3 linked regions of the Arabidopsis thaliana genome follow. The protein of the gene in region 1 interacts with the protein of each later gene in a pairwise test. Each region holds a gene or a part of one and is shown on either strand. Other genes may lie near its edges. The genes, in order: TMAC2, AT4G14720 and HSL1.

Region 1 (3,758 bases):
AGCAAGACAAACAAAAACGTATGAATTACGTGAGCTTACGTGAATATTGCAAATAGAACACCAAATCATTAATTTCGGTTGACGTGGATATTCAAATAATGATCTACACATATACAGTACCGTGGGTACGCATGCCATTTCGAGACGTATACAATTCAGTTTCTTCCACTTGAGTTTCAGATCTTTATCAAAATTACAAACACGTTTATATATATATACACATATAGATAGATTGATAGCCACATTTCTGAGATTCGATAGTCATATATACGACTATATATTAAATATTCCAGAAGATATATTGACACTTTTTCTGAAAGACTAATTAAGAAGAACGCGCAAGTATGACTATGCGTTACTAAGAATATTTAATTTCCATTAGAAAATGTGTAAGTTTATCTGATATACTAGTTAATTAGCCAAATGATTTTAAAATTTACGTTAAGAAAATTTCGTAGGTTCAACTTTTTAGTGTGTAAGTTATTAATTGTGAATTATACAGCTAGGAACGTCCGTTATATGTAAACAAAGTAACTATATATAAAATTTAAGACTTAGAGTAAGTATTTATTATGTGATTGTTATATATACTCGCTAAAGAGTACTAGATGAAGAGTGAAGAGGTTGGGCATCTCGAGAGAGAAACTGAAGAAAACAGAAGAGAAAGAGAGTTATTCACTCGATGGTCCCCCTAATTTTCCTATCACTTTTTCTCTCTCAATTTAACCGTCTCTTGTATTATCCCCAATAGTTACATTTTTAATTACTCTTATCATTTCAATACCCAACAAAGCAGAAACAGCCCAGCAAAATTTTCACTTCCAGAAATTATAACATGGTTGAATACACAACACTAATTAACTGCAATATGAATCATAAATAAATTTATTAAGATTTCTATATAAAAACTGTTGGGCAGCAAATGCATGCGTACGATATCTATAGAATTGGAGTTTAGTGCAATTGTTGGTATTTCTTTCTTTGGGGAAAGTGACACGTTAAAATATGAAAAATGTAAAAATTTGAACAAGACTTACAATAACTAGAAAAATCAGAGATACAAAATTTACTACTCTATCAGTCTATCTGTTGTCTTATACACTACACCTTTATTATGCACTGTTCCTATCCCAAACACCAATCCCTATGCTCAGTCCATATGGTAGATACTACTAGAGATGGTAACCCAACACATATGTGTTAGATGGCCCCATAGGCAGTAAGCAAAACATTACTTTTTACAACCATATCTTTGTTTATAAATTTTAAAAGCTATGTGAATTTAATTTAGTATTACTATCCTGGATCACAATCTTGGGCCAACAAAAGAAATGTGTATGGGCCAACTGTGATGAAAGAAAAGCCCAATGGATCAAAGTTCAGATGCTTTCTGTAGCTCTTTTGTAGAGAAGTTTTTGTAAGTTTAGTTATAGAAGCAAAAATAGGTAAACCACAAAACTGAAGCCCGGTTGACTAAATCCTTAAATGTGATCATGTCACACAGCAACTTGGCTACATGTTGTCGTGAAGCAATGAATAAAGTGGTACGTGGTGTATTCTAGAAGCGAAACGTGTCACTAATCTTATCACCTTTTTAGGGTAAAATAGATTTGAAACAAAACATTTCTTCAAACATACAAAAAAAGAAAGAAATAGTACAAGTTGGCCACTATGCGTGTCCCACTTCTCGATCTCCTCTTTGATTGTTTGCGTCTCTTTAGGAGATCCTCCCATTCATTCATTCTTTCCTCTCCACCTTATTATTACTATTATTCTGCTGCATGAATTTCAAAAAATTATGTAACAACAATTTACCGAAATGAAATTACCACAAAGGATTAGAAACTAGCACATTCTTAATAACCAATATTGAACTCTTATTAGTATTGTTGTTAGAACTTGAAGTTAATTAGGCCACAAGAAAAGGCGCGTAGAAATGTTTAGATAAAAAAAATGTCTAACGTATTTCTTTGGTTTGCCGTGTCGGGGGCCCAGTCAGGCTGGATACACGTGGCAATAAAGGGACTGTCGTAGTTGAGCACGTTGATTATTAGACACGTGTCGAGTTGTATATGAACAAAGTAGCCTACGTCTACGCCACTTGATGCCCTTTTCCACGTGGCGTGGTGGGTGGTCGTCTATCTTTTCCTATAAAAAATCATAAATCAATATTAAAATGTTTTCAAGAAGATAATCCGAATAATTCCCTATATTTTGTGTCTGTCAACGAGAAATCACTATCTATTTTCATTGATTATACTAATGCAAATTGGTATATTAACTGGAAATTATGTCTATTTTAAGCCAACTTGTGTGAAAATATACTAAAGTAAAGTTTTAAAATCCGTACTACATCGTCAACTATGCTTGTAATATAATTCAAAAACATGATTTTCTTTTTTTTTCCCTGAAAAATATAAAATATGCAAATTGAAGTACTATAGTTTATAATAGTAAGCATTTGGTGCTTGTTTTAAGACAAAATTGTTTCGTCTCTCTCAAGATTGAAAATAGAAAGTTAAGCCAAAAACGTTTCTCCCTTCTCTTTCGAATTTCTCTGACTTTGATATTTGGTTATGGAGATGATAAGAGGCAGGGGAATCCCAAACGGCGTCGTTCAAGTACCCAATCTTTCTGCTAATAATCTCTTGCAGAAGTTTTTCATCGCAAGCAACCATTTTTGTCAGCGAGACTCTGAGCATGGTGAGAATCAACAAGAAGCGAAGAAGAGAGAAGATGAAGCAGAAGAGGATGAGAAAGACGTGGAGCTAACGTTAGGTCTTTCGCTTAATGGACAGTTTGGTACGGATCCGAGATCGAGAAAAAGGAGGCACTTTGAACTGGGTCGATCTTCTTCGATACCGGAAGGTTTCGTCTTCGATGAACAAAGATCCGGCGGCGGTAACGGCGGAGATATGCGTCGTATTGTGGGCCGTGGAGGCTCAGACATGTTTCAGCTGGATCGGACGCGTTCTCTGCCGGTCGTAACGGAGATGGATATAGAGAAAGAGCGGAAGGTGTCAGAGAAGACGAGGGCATTTATGGAATCTCCGGTTACAAACAGAGGAGCATATCTAACAAAAGATAAAAACAGAGGCCAAGCCGTCGAAACAGAGAAGCCGAGGGCATTTCTGGAATTTAAGATTCCTCCGACCAAGGAGGGAAAGAAAGAAAAAGATCGGTTGGTTGTCACTGGTCCGGTCAACGGGAAGGGTAAAAATGGAAATACGGCGAAGAAGCAGAAGAATAATGTGGAAAATTCAGGAATGGAGAAGGCGAGGAACATTCTTGAAGACATGCCTTGTGTGTCGACGAGAGATGTCGGAGCCGACGGGAAACGAGTGGAAGGGTTTCTTTACTGGTACGGAGGGAACAAGGAGGAGGTCAAGATAGTTTGTGTTTGCCACGGCAGTTTTCTTTCTCCGGCGGAATTTGTTAGGCACGGCGGAGGTACCGTCAGCGATGATGATGGTGGTGATGTTATGATTAACCCTCTTAGACATATTGTTGTTAAACTTCCTTCTTCTTCTATCTAGGGATTATTATTTATCCCCAACTATTATTAGAGCTCTCATTTTTTGTTTTCCCTAACTTTCAAAATGTAACGATGTCAAACTAATTTGACCGACTAAACTAGCTGAAGCATGTACATTTTATATCCAAAGTTATTACAGATCCACTTGATTTGATTTTGGTTAAGAATGTTGAATCAATCTTAGCTAAACGGATGTTTTATTTTTTAACGTTAGAAATTAAAG
Region 2 (3,758 bases), on another chromosome or scaffold:
TTACAAAATCACAATATTGTTTTTTTTTAAAGCACATCATAATAAAGTCAACAATATATAATTTAAAAACCTTTAAGAAAAAAATAAATTTGGGTAGGGTTTGGTGAGTGGTGTCGATAGAAATGGCGGATGCATCCTTTAGATTAAAGGTATGGTACCAACTTGGATCCATTTCTTCGATAACGACTCTTCCTATTTCCACTCTGTTTTTTTTTTGTTTCCCTCTTCTTTATCTCATATCTTCCACTACTCTCAATAGTCAATTCTATATCCCAATTTTTATGTTAAGTTTTTACGATTTACAAGTTATTGGCAAATTGAAAATTGCTGTCAACTTGCTAGAGGGTATTGTAACAGTACTACCAAATATGAGGTCGAGTCTTAAGTGCTATATATGGAGAGAGATGATTTACGTTTGTGGAATCGCAATAAGTATATATTATCAAATGCTAGTCCATGGACATAAAACTATGAGCCAAAAATTAGAAATTTCTGGTTAACAATAACAATAAAGAAAAAAAAAATGGTATATGCATATACAGTATAAGGTAGATAGTTTTGATTTTTGAAGACCATTGATTAATATTATATATTTCAATATCAATTGTTGGTAAGTTATAAAAACCTTCAAACGAGAGTGAATTAACTTCAAAGTCACAAAGTTCGACTTTCGATGTTAAAAAAAATAAAATGTTTACACGTTCCATTCTCTTGTTCAAAAAAATTATGGATCAGTATTCCAAATTTCATAGTAATCTAAAAAGAAAAAGTTGCATTAATATGGTTTGCTTATCTAATCATTTTTCGGGACATCACCGTATGTATGGATGACGAAACTATATTTTAAAAAGAAGTTTTCAACTGTTCGTTTATTCATGCATGTATATCTTGACAATTACGACATTGGATGAATTGAGTGATGAATCCTTATCGTACATCACGAGTATAATTACATGTATCATGCATTGTTATCAATTATCACTTTATATATTGGATAATGAGAAGGGATGTCACGCAAGACCAAGCAAGGTTTAAGGGAGAATCGATATTGGTCAGACTCATGTGAAAATATATTTCTCCTCCTTCGTCTTGTCAATTTATTACTCTATCTCTTGTATTTTTCAATTGTTTTGGTATTCACTTCAGAAAATGACTAGTCTTCGTTTTTATGTGTTGAGCCATTTTCATTTACATGCATCTAAATGATCTACTGAATATGGATATCGAAGAGATTTTTTAGTATAATGGTTTGTGCTAGATCCTTTAACAAAAAAGTAAATGGTTTGTGCTAGTGTTTTTGTTGTATTGCTAATTTGCTATCCAATTCATAGCACACATGTTGTTGCCAAACAAATGCTAAATCCATTTTAAAAGTATCAACTAGTAAATTAGCTTAACAAATTTTTTGTTAACATGTTTATGAGATGTTTTTTTAAGAAAAAAAAAACTCATTTAACATGATTACATTTAGGGTTTGATTGGTTGTTTTAAACTGAAAATTGTCTGTTTGCAAAAATGTTTGGAATGATTATCTTTTTGCAAAAATTGCGTGACATGTTGAAGTGTTGCAATGCTGGAGGTTCTGCTAACTAACAAGTAATAATCGTATAAGTGACATGATCTTCCATTTTTTAGAGATACTAACCAAGAATTGTAAAACCAGGAAAAAAACACTAACCAAGAATTGATGATTGTCCATCTAGACTAAAGTAGTATACAAACAAAACACAAAAGATATTTTGTTCTATTTTTGGAATAACTCTTATCCATTTATAGAAATAATTAGTTGTTTAATCAAAATATCACATGCAAATTGATCGTATGCGATTTTAGATAAATTGACATCCACTCAGTAATAAACAAACAAGATACTCTCTGATTACAAAATAATCTCTGTTTTCTTTCGTGTCATTTTTCTTTATCACTCATGCTATTATTATATTTAAATTTAATATAAAACTGTTACCATTTACTATTTTATTTCACTGTTTGACGCGAAAAAAATAATCAGCATAAGATTTACCCAAAAAATAAAAAATAATTGGGATACTTAAGCAATGCATGATTAGGCTATAATCTAGAGAGACTAATAGGATGCTTACGTGGCAGTCTAGGGAGCTTCGCTGCTCCAAAAACCATTCCCCTAAAATTGAAGCCCATAGACTATTAGCGACTTCACTCTTTCTCTTTCTTTCTCTCTCTCTCTCTCTCTCGCTCTTCTAATTTTGCCCTCAAAACCCTCCAATTATTACGAAAACGCCACTGCTCTCTCGTCGGGACTCCGGTGAGGCCGTTTTGGCCGGAATCTGACAAGGGATATGGATGTAGGAGTTACTACGGCGAAGTCTATACTTGAGAAGCCTCTGAAGCTTCTCACTGAAGAAGACATTTCTCAGCTTACTCGCGAAGATTGCCGCAAATTCCTCAAAGAGAAAGGTTTCTTCTTCTTCCTTTCTCCATTTTTTTCCGGTCTTATTGTCTTCGACGGTAGGATCTTCCTCACGGATTTTGCTGAGAAGAATCGTACATAGTCAATTTTTTGAAATTCTCTATTCTTCTTCTCTCCGAGCTTTTTTTTTCGCTCTCTGGAGAATGGCGGCTGACACGTGTCGAAACAGGAATGCGCAGGCCTTCGTGGAATAAATCTCAGGCGATCCAGCAAGTTTTATCTCTTAAAGCTCTCTATGAACCTGGAGATGATTCCGGCGCCGGAATCCTCCGCAAGATCCTTGTTTCTCAGCCGCCAAATCCGCCTCGCGTGAGTGTTGTTCTTCGATTTTGTTTCGATTTACAGAGAAAAATCTAAGTTCTGAAGTAGTAGAGAATCGTTTACTTGGTTGGTGCTGATTTAGGGAAAATTGTTGTTCTGTGTGTACTGCTGTTTTGTTCACAGGTTACAACAACGTTGATTGAGCCAAGGAACGAGCTCGAAGCTTGTGGAAGGATTCCTTTACAGGAAGATGATGGTGCGTGCCATAGAAGGGATTCTCCAAGATCAGCTGAGTTTTCTGGTAGTTCTGGTCAGTTTGTTGCGGATAAAGATAGCCACAAGACTGTTTCTGTTTCCCCCAGGTTTACATTTTCTTCTATAGCGTTTTGACTTTGTGTGGTATCTTTCTTCTGCTTTCATGCCTCAAGAAGAGAACTGATGCATTGTGACATTCTGTTTGTGATCTTAGAATAAGTACTTGGTTTGATATCAGTGTCTTAGACATTGAAAAGTTTCTATATGAATCATGGTTTTGATGGTGGATTGGTCACACAGAATTTAGGTTAAAAGAGTCAGATAGATCTTCTTGGTTCTGTGTTACTCTTTACTCTTCTGTTTTGAGGATTGGTATGATGTGATGTGATTATTGCTAGTGAACGATAAATCAGTTACTTAGTCCATTAGTCTATATGATTTGTGAATTCTGCAATTACTAACAAGAGTTTTAGGGGTAGTTCATGTACAAAGTCTTATTGATATTAGGTGCATGTTGTTTTATAAACAAATTACTACTCCAATGTTATTTAATTAAGTTGTTTAAACACGCTTTTTTGTAATGTTGCATCAGAAGCCCAGCTGAAACAAATGCGGTGGTTGGGCAAATGACGATATTTTATAGTGGCAAAGTGAATGTATATGATGGAGTACCACCTGAAAAGGTAAATGAATCACATAATTCTGTCCAGCCTGAAAATATAAATTTTGATGGTATGGTTTTGATCATTCATCTTGTGTATTGATTTGCAGGCCCGGTCTATCATGCATTTTG
Region 3 (3,758 bases), on another chromosome or scaffold:
AAAGTTAAACACTTACCAGAAAAGGCAGAAGAAGATGTCAAATATATTGTCGAGAAACTCAATACGCTCCTTCTGTGAAAGACTATATACAAATAAAAACATATAAGATGACGATATATAGAAGAAGATACCAACTGTTATAAAGTAATCAAAATCCGTAAATGAATGAATAGTTAAGGACATTTGATATTGACATCTAAAGATAAGATATCATTGCATCCTAAGGAAAAAAAAACGAAATTAAAGTTCACAAGAGACAAAGAAAATCAACAGACCTTTCGAAGAAACTTGTCCAAAAAAGAGAAACCACGAGTCACTTCCATCTCCTCAGTTTTCAACCAAACCAATTCTAAGCTTAGACATGTCCACACGAAACTTCTCAGTGGTGCAGTGGAGATGGAGCCTCTTAAATAATTGTGCCACTGTGATAAAAACGCACCATCGAAAAGTTGACTGATGAATGTATGGAAGTCCAAGAAGTCTACAATAGTGATAATGAGAATAATATCTTGACTGTGAAAAAGGATGAATTGATTCTGTAGACAAAACTAAGTGCAAACCTTAAATAGTCAAATTATTCAATTGAACGGAAATGATCCATCACCTATCTGAGCTACAGTAGGCTAACAACGATTCCACTACCTAGGCACAATTTCAAGGAAGATATAATTCTTATTAAACCGCTAAATAATCCAAAAACTTGCGAGTCAGCAAGATCTAATCTGAGGATACACATAACTTTTAATGCTATTGAAAGAAGAATATAGACTTGAAGAAAAAAATGTAATAAGCAGCTACATTAAGTAAACAAGTAAACTAAATGTAATACCTTAACAGAGATGACAGAAATGTATGCAGGTTTGTCTCCAGTAACAGGAGAAGATATTTGGCTGCAATTGGAAAATACAAAAATTAGGTGAATAACATGACATATTTGGCTGCAATTGGAAATTCATAAAGAACCAAGGACGACACTTTCTTAAGAAGCAATAAAATGATATATAAATCGAACTAGTTTCATTCTTCTTCAAATCTTTCAACTTTGGTTGACCCAAAAAACCACTGATTTCCAAGTAAAGCTTATAACTTTGTAAAAACACTGATGTAAAGGTTCAATTTTTACAATCCTAATTCCGAAATCTACGGTCTTTGAACAAAAAAAAACATGCATAAATCACCAAGTTTCTGAACACTAATGGCCGAGCAAGTAAATTTATCAGAGCATAATCACCGGAGAGGGTTAACCCTTACCTTGGTTTGTGTGGAGAGAGAGCCGATTGATTCGATCGGAAGAGAAGGGATAGTTTTCGACGGAGAAGTGAAGTTAAAAACCAAGTCAAAGTCGTCTTTACGTCGACCAAGTGAAGAAGATTTGAGCCAATTCAATTGCAGCAACAAGAGGTAGTGGCAAAGAGATTTAGAAATAACGAAGGAGTTGATGAATTGGTTTCTAAATAAAGAAGAAGAAGCCACAATGACTTAGAGCGAAAATCTCCATTACCAACAACAACAAAGGGCTCGTGGAGAAGACAACAAATCTGGAGCGTTAGATTACAAAAAAAAAAAAAATGAAACACAAAGAAACTGCTGACGTCAGCCTGACCTAAAACCCAGTATGCTTTATTTATTTATTATGGATGAGAGAATAATGTAAAGTTTACTCAAAGTGTGACATTTTATGTAATAAGATATTAATTAAAGTGCACGCAAAAGGTCATCTCTGTTTCGACCTCACCTAAGGTTTGCTTCTAGATTTATATACGTCTAAATTAGTATTTTGATTTCGATAATAATATTATTTAGTAAAGCATTGAATTTGAGAATGATGAAGTGGCTTGGTTTCTAGGGTTATAAGACAGGAACCCACGACGACCATCACCAACACATCAGCAGATCAGCTACTAGGTCCAACTCCAACTCTTTATTTTTGTTGGTTCAACAATTTACTGCAAAAGACTTAAAAAAATGTAGCCCAAATAATCATGTCAGGATAATGGACCGAAGATTGGTTGATGGGCCGTTTTAGATCAAAAAAATCATTCCACCTTTGGAAAAGATCTCTTTAGCATATTACTTTAAGGTTTGTTGCAAATGAAAAATAGTTGGAAAATATTTTAGACCCTTAAAAGTCTTATCCGATAGGTAAAGTATTTAAATCAGTTCATGGGTTGAGTTTCATAATTGAAACTAGGCATAGATTGGCCCTTTCCTTTCTCTTTAATAAATACTCGATTCATCCCTTTCTACTGTCTGTCTCAATATCTGTACATACCATTCATTGTAGCAATCACTATACGTACATGTTAATGTCTATGAAGTATGAACAATAATAAGAATTGGGTAAGAGAGTTATATATGTTGTTGATAAACAACAGTGAATTCAAAACTATATAATTTAGAGAGGGTTTGTATATCCCTTTTTTTCCTCTGTATGAGTAATGTGAGAACCAATTATTCGTTTATAGATGAATAATAAATTATCTTTCTGTTTATCGTACCGAGTTACCTACCATATTGCTTAGACTGGAAATGCTTTGTTGGTAAAAAGACATGATTGGTTGAAAAATAGATAAAAGCATGAATGGGATTCAAAAACTAACGATAATTAGGAAACTGGATTACCATGGTTGGTAGGCTAAACCCTAGCTATTCTAATCGCTATTACATTCTCACCTACTTTGCATAGTCATTAAATTTGCATATCCACGAATTCGTACTAATAGTTTCGCAGAAAATACACATGCAATCTTATGAATATTGCTTGATTTATTTAAGAAACAAACTTGTATGCAATTATTGGTATATAAATCAGTTATAACCGAGCCATTTGTCAATATGACTTTGACACATGGGTAAGTCTAAACAACTAATTCATACTCTAGTTATCAATTGTCTCTTGTAAATAATTTAGTACGTATTTTTTTAGTTAGTCTTATAGATGAGTAAATCACCCTTTTTAAAATTATTAGATTTTCGGTTAAATGTTTTGGATTCTAAACTCAAAATTAATTAGCAATATGTGATGAAAACCCTTGTAGTTATGTAATTGCATGAAACAAAAATGATTTCAAATGTTATTCATATGTACTAGATCTTCAAACATTAACACATGAACTAACATTTTGGAATTACATCGATATTCATTTAATTGGATCCAAAAGGTTTCAACTTCTCGTTCTGTTATTAGTTTTTGTTTCCTCTTTTTTGTTTTCTATTTATTTTCACATGTTCTAGCTTCTTAATTCTAAGCTAACTTGAGTAGCCTAATAAACTTGTGTCACATGATGAGGACATTTCTCAAATGGAACATTCAGACATTTACACTCCCATACGTTGATATCATGTTATTTGCTATATTAGTCTAATATTGTTGCCTTTCAGATTTCACATATGAAATATTCCTTGTTGTAACCAAGAACCATCTCTGTGTATTTTTACAAGCATAAAATAGTAGTTGACAATATAAAAATAACTATCTGATGATGCAACTCTAGTTAATATATCACGAATCACTGACTCCTATATAATGTGTAGATATACTGTATATGTATCGACACCAATTTTACATACATTACCGAAGTATTGATTGGTTCTTTCATTTGATAAAAGAGAGCATATAATTTCACTTTAATCACACTCATTATACATTTGCGAAAGTCTTTCATTCACAACCGTCGTTGCGTTTAGTTTGCTAATACTTTATGTTAGTGCCCGTTGAGTTTCTAAAAGTGTAGAAGTTTTTGTTGTTTATTTATATA

The links.
Region 2: the proteins of TMAC2 (region 1) and AT4G14720 interact in binary tests that used the Arabidopsis thaliana proteins (3 or more experiments, as listed by UniProt).
Region 3: the proteins of TMAC2 (region 1) and HSL1 interact in binary tests that used the Arabidopsis thaliana proteins (3 or more experiments, as listed by UniProt).

What each region holds. Positions count from the first base shown.
Region 1 is NC_003074.8:385,256-389,013, reverse strand, and holds the start of TMAC2 (AFP2 (ABI five-binding protein 2) family protein), read left to right. Parts: upstream 1-1,962; 5' UTR 1,963-2,576; coding exon 2,577-3,536; 3' UTR 3,537-3,758. UniProt on the Arabidopsis thaliana protein: Acts as a negative regulator of abscisic acid (ABA) and salinity responses.
Region 2 is NC_003075.7:8,433,495-8,437,252, reverse strand, and holds the start of AT4G14720 (TIFY domain/Divergent CCT motif family protein), read left to right. Parts: upstream 1-2,147; 5' UTR 2,148-2,318; coding exon 2,319-2,436; intron 2,437-2,618; coding exon 2,619-2,758; intron 2,759-2,893; coding exon 2,894-3,072; intron 3,073-3,557; coding exon 3,558-3,648; intron 3,649-3,736; coding exon 3,737-3,758. UniProt on the Arabidopsis thaliana protein: Regulates the arrest of dispersed meristematic cells during lamina development.
Region 3 is NC_003075.7:15,477,306-15,481,063, reverse strand, and holds the start of HSL1 (HSI2-like 1), read right to left. Parts: upstream 1,686-3,758; 5' UTR 1,252-1,685; intron 891-1,251; 5' UTR 830-890; intron 570-829; exon of another isoform or gene 423-569; 5' UTR 276-422; intron 83-275; 5' UTR 17-82; intron 1-16. UniProt on the Arabidopsis thaliana protein: Transcriptional repressor of gene expression involved in embryonic pathways, such as LEC1, ABI3, and FUS3. Repressor of the sugar-inducible genes involved in the seed maturation program in seedlings.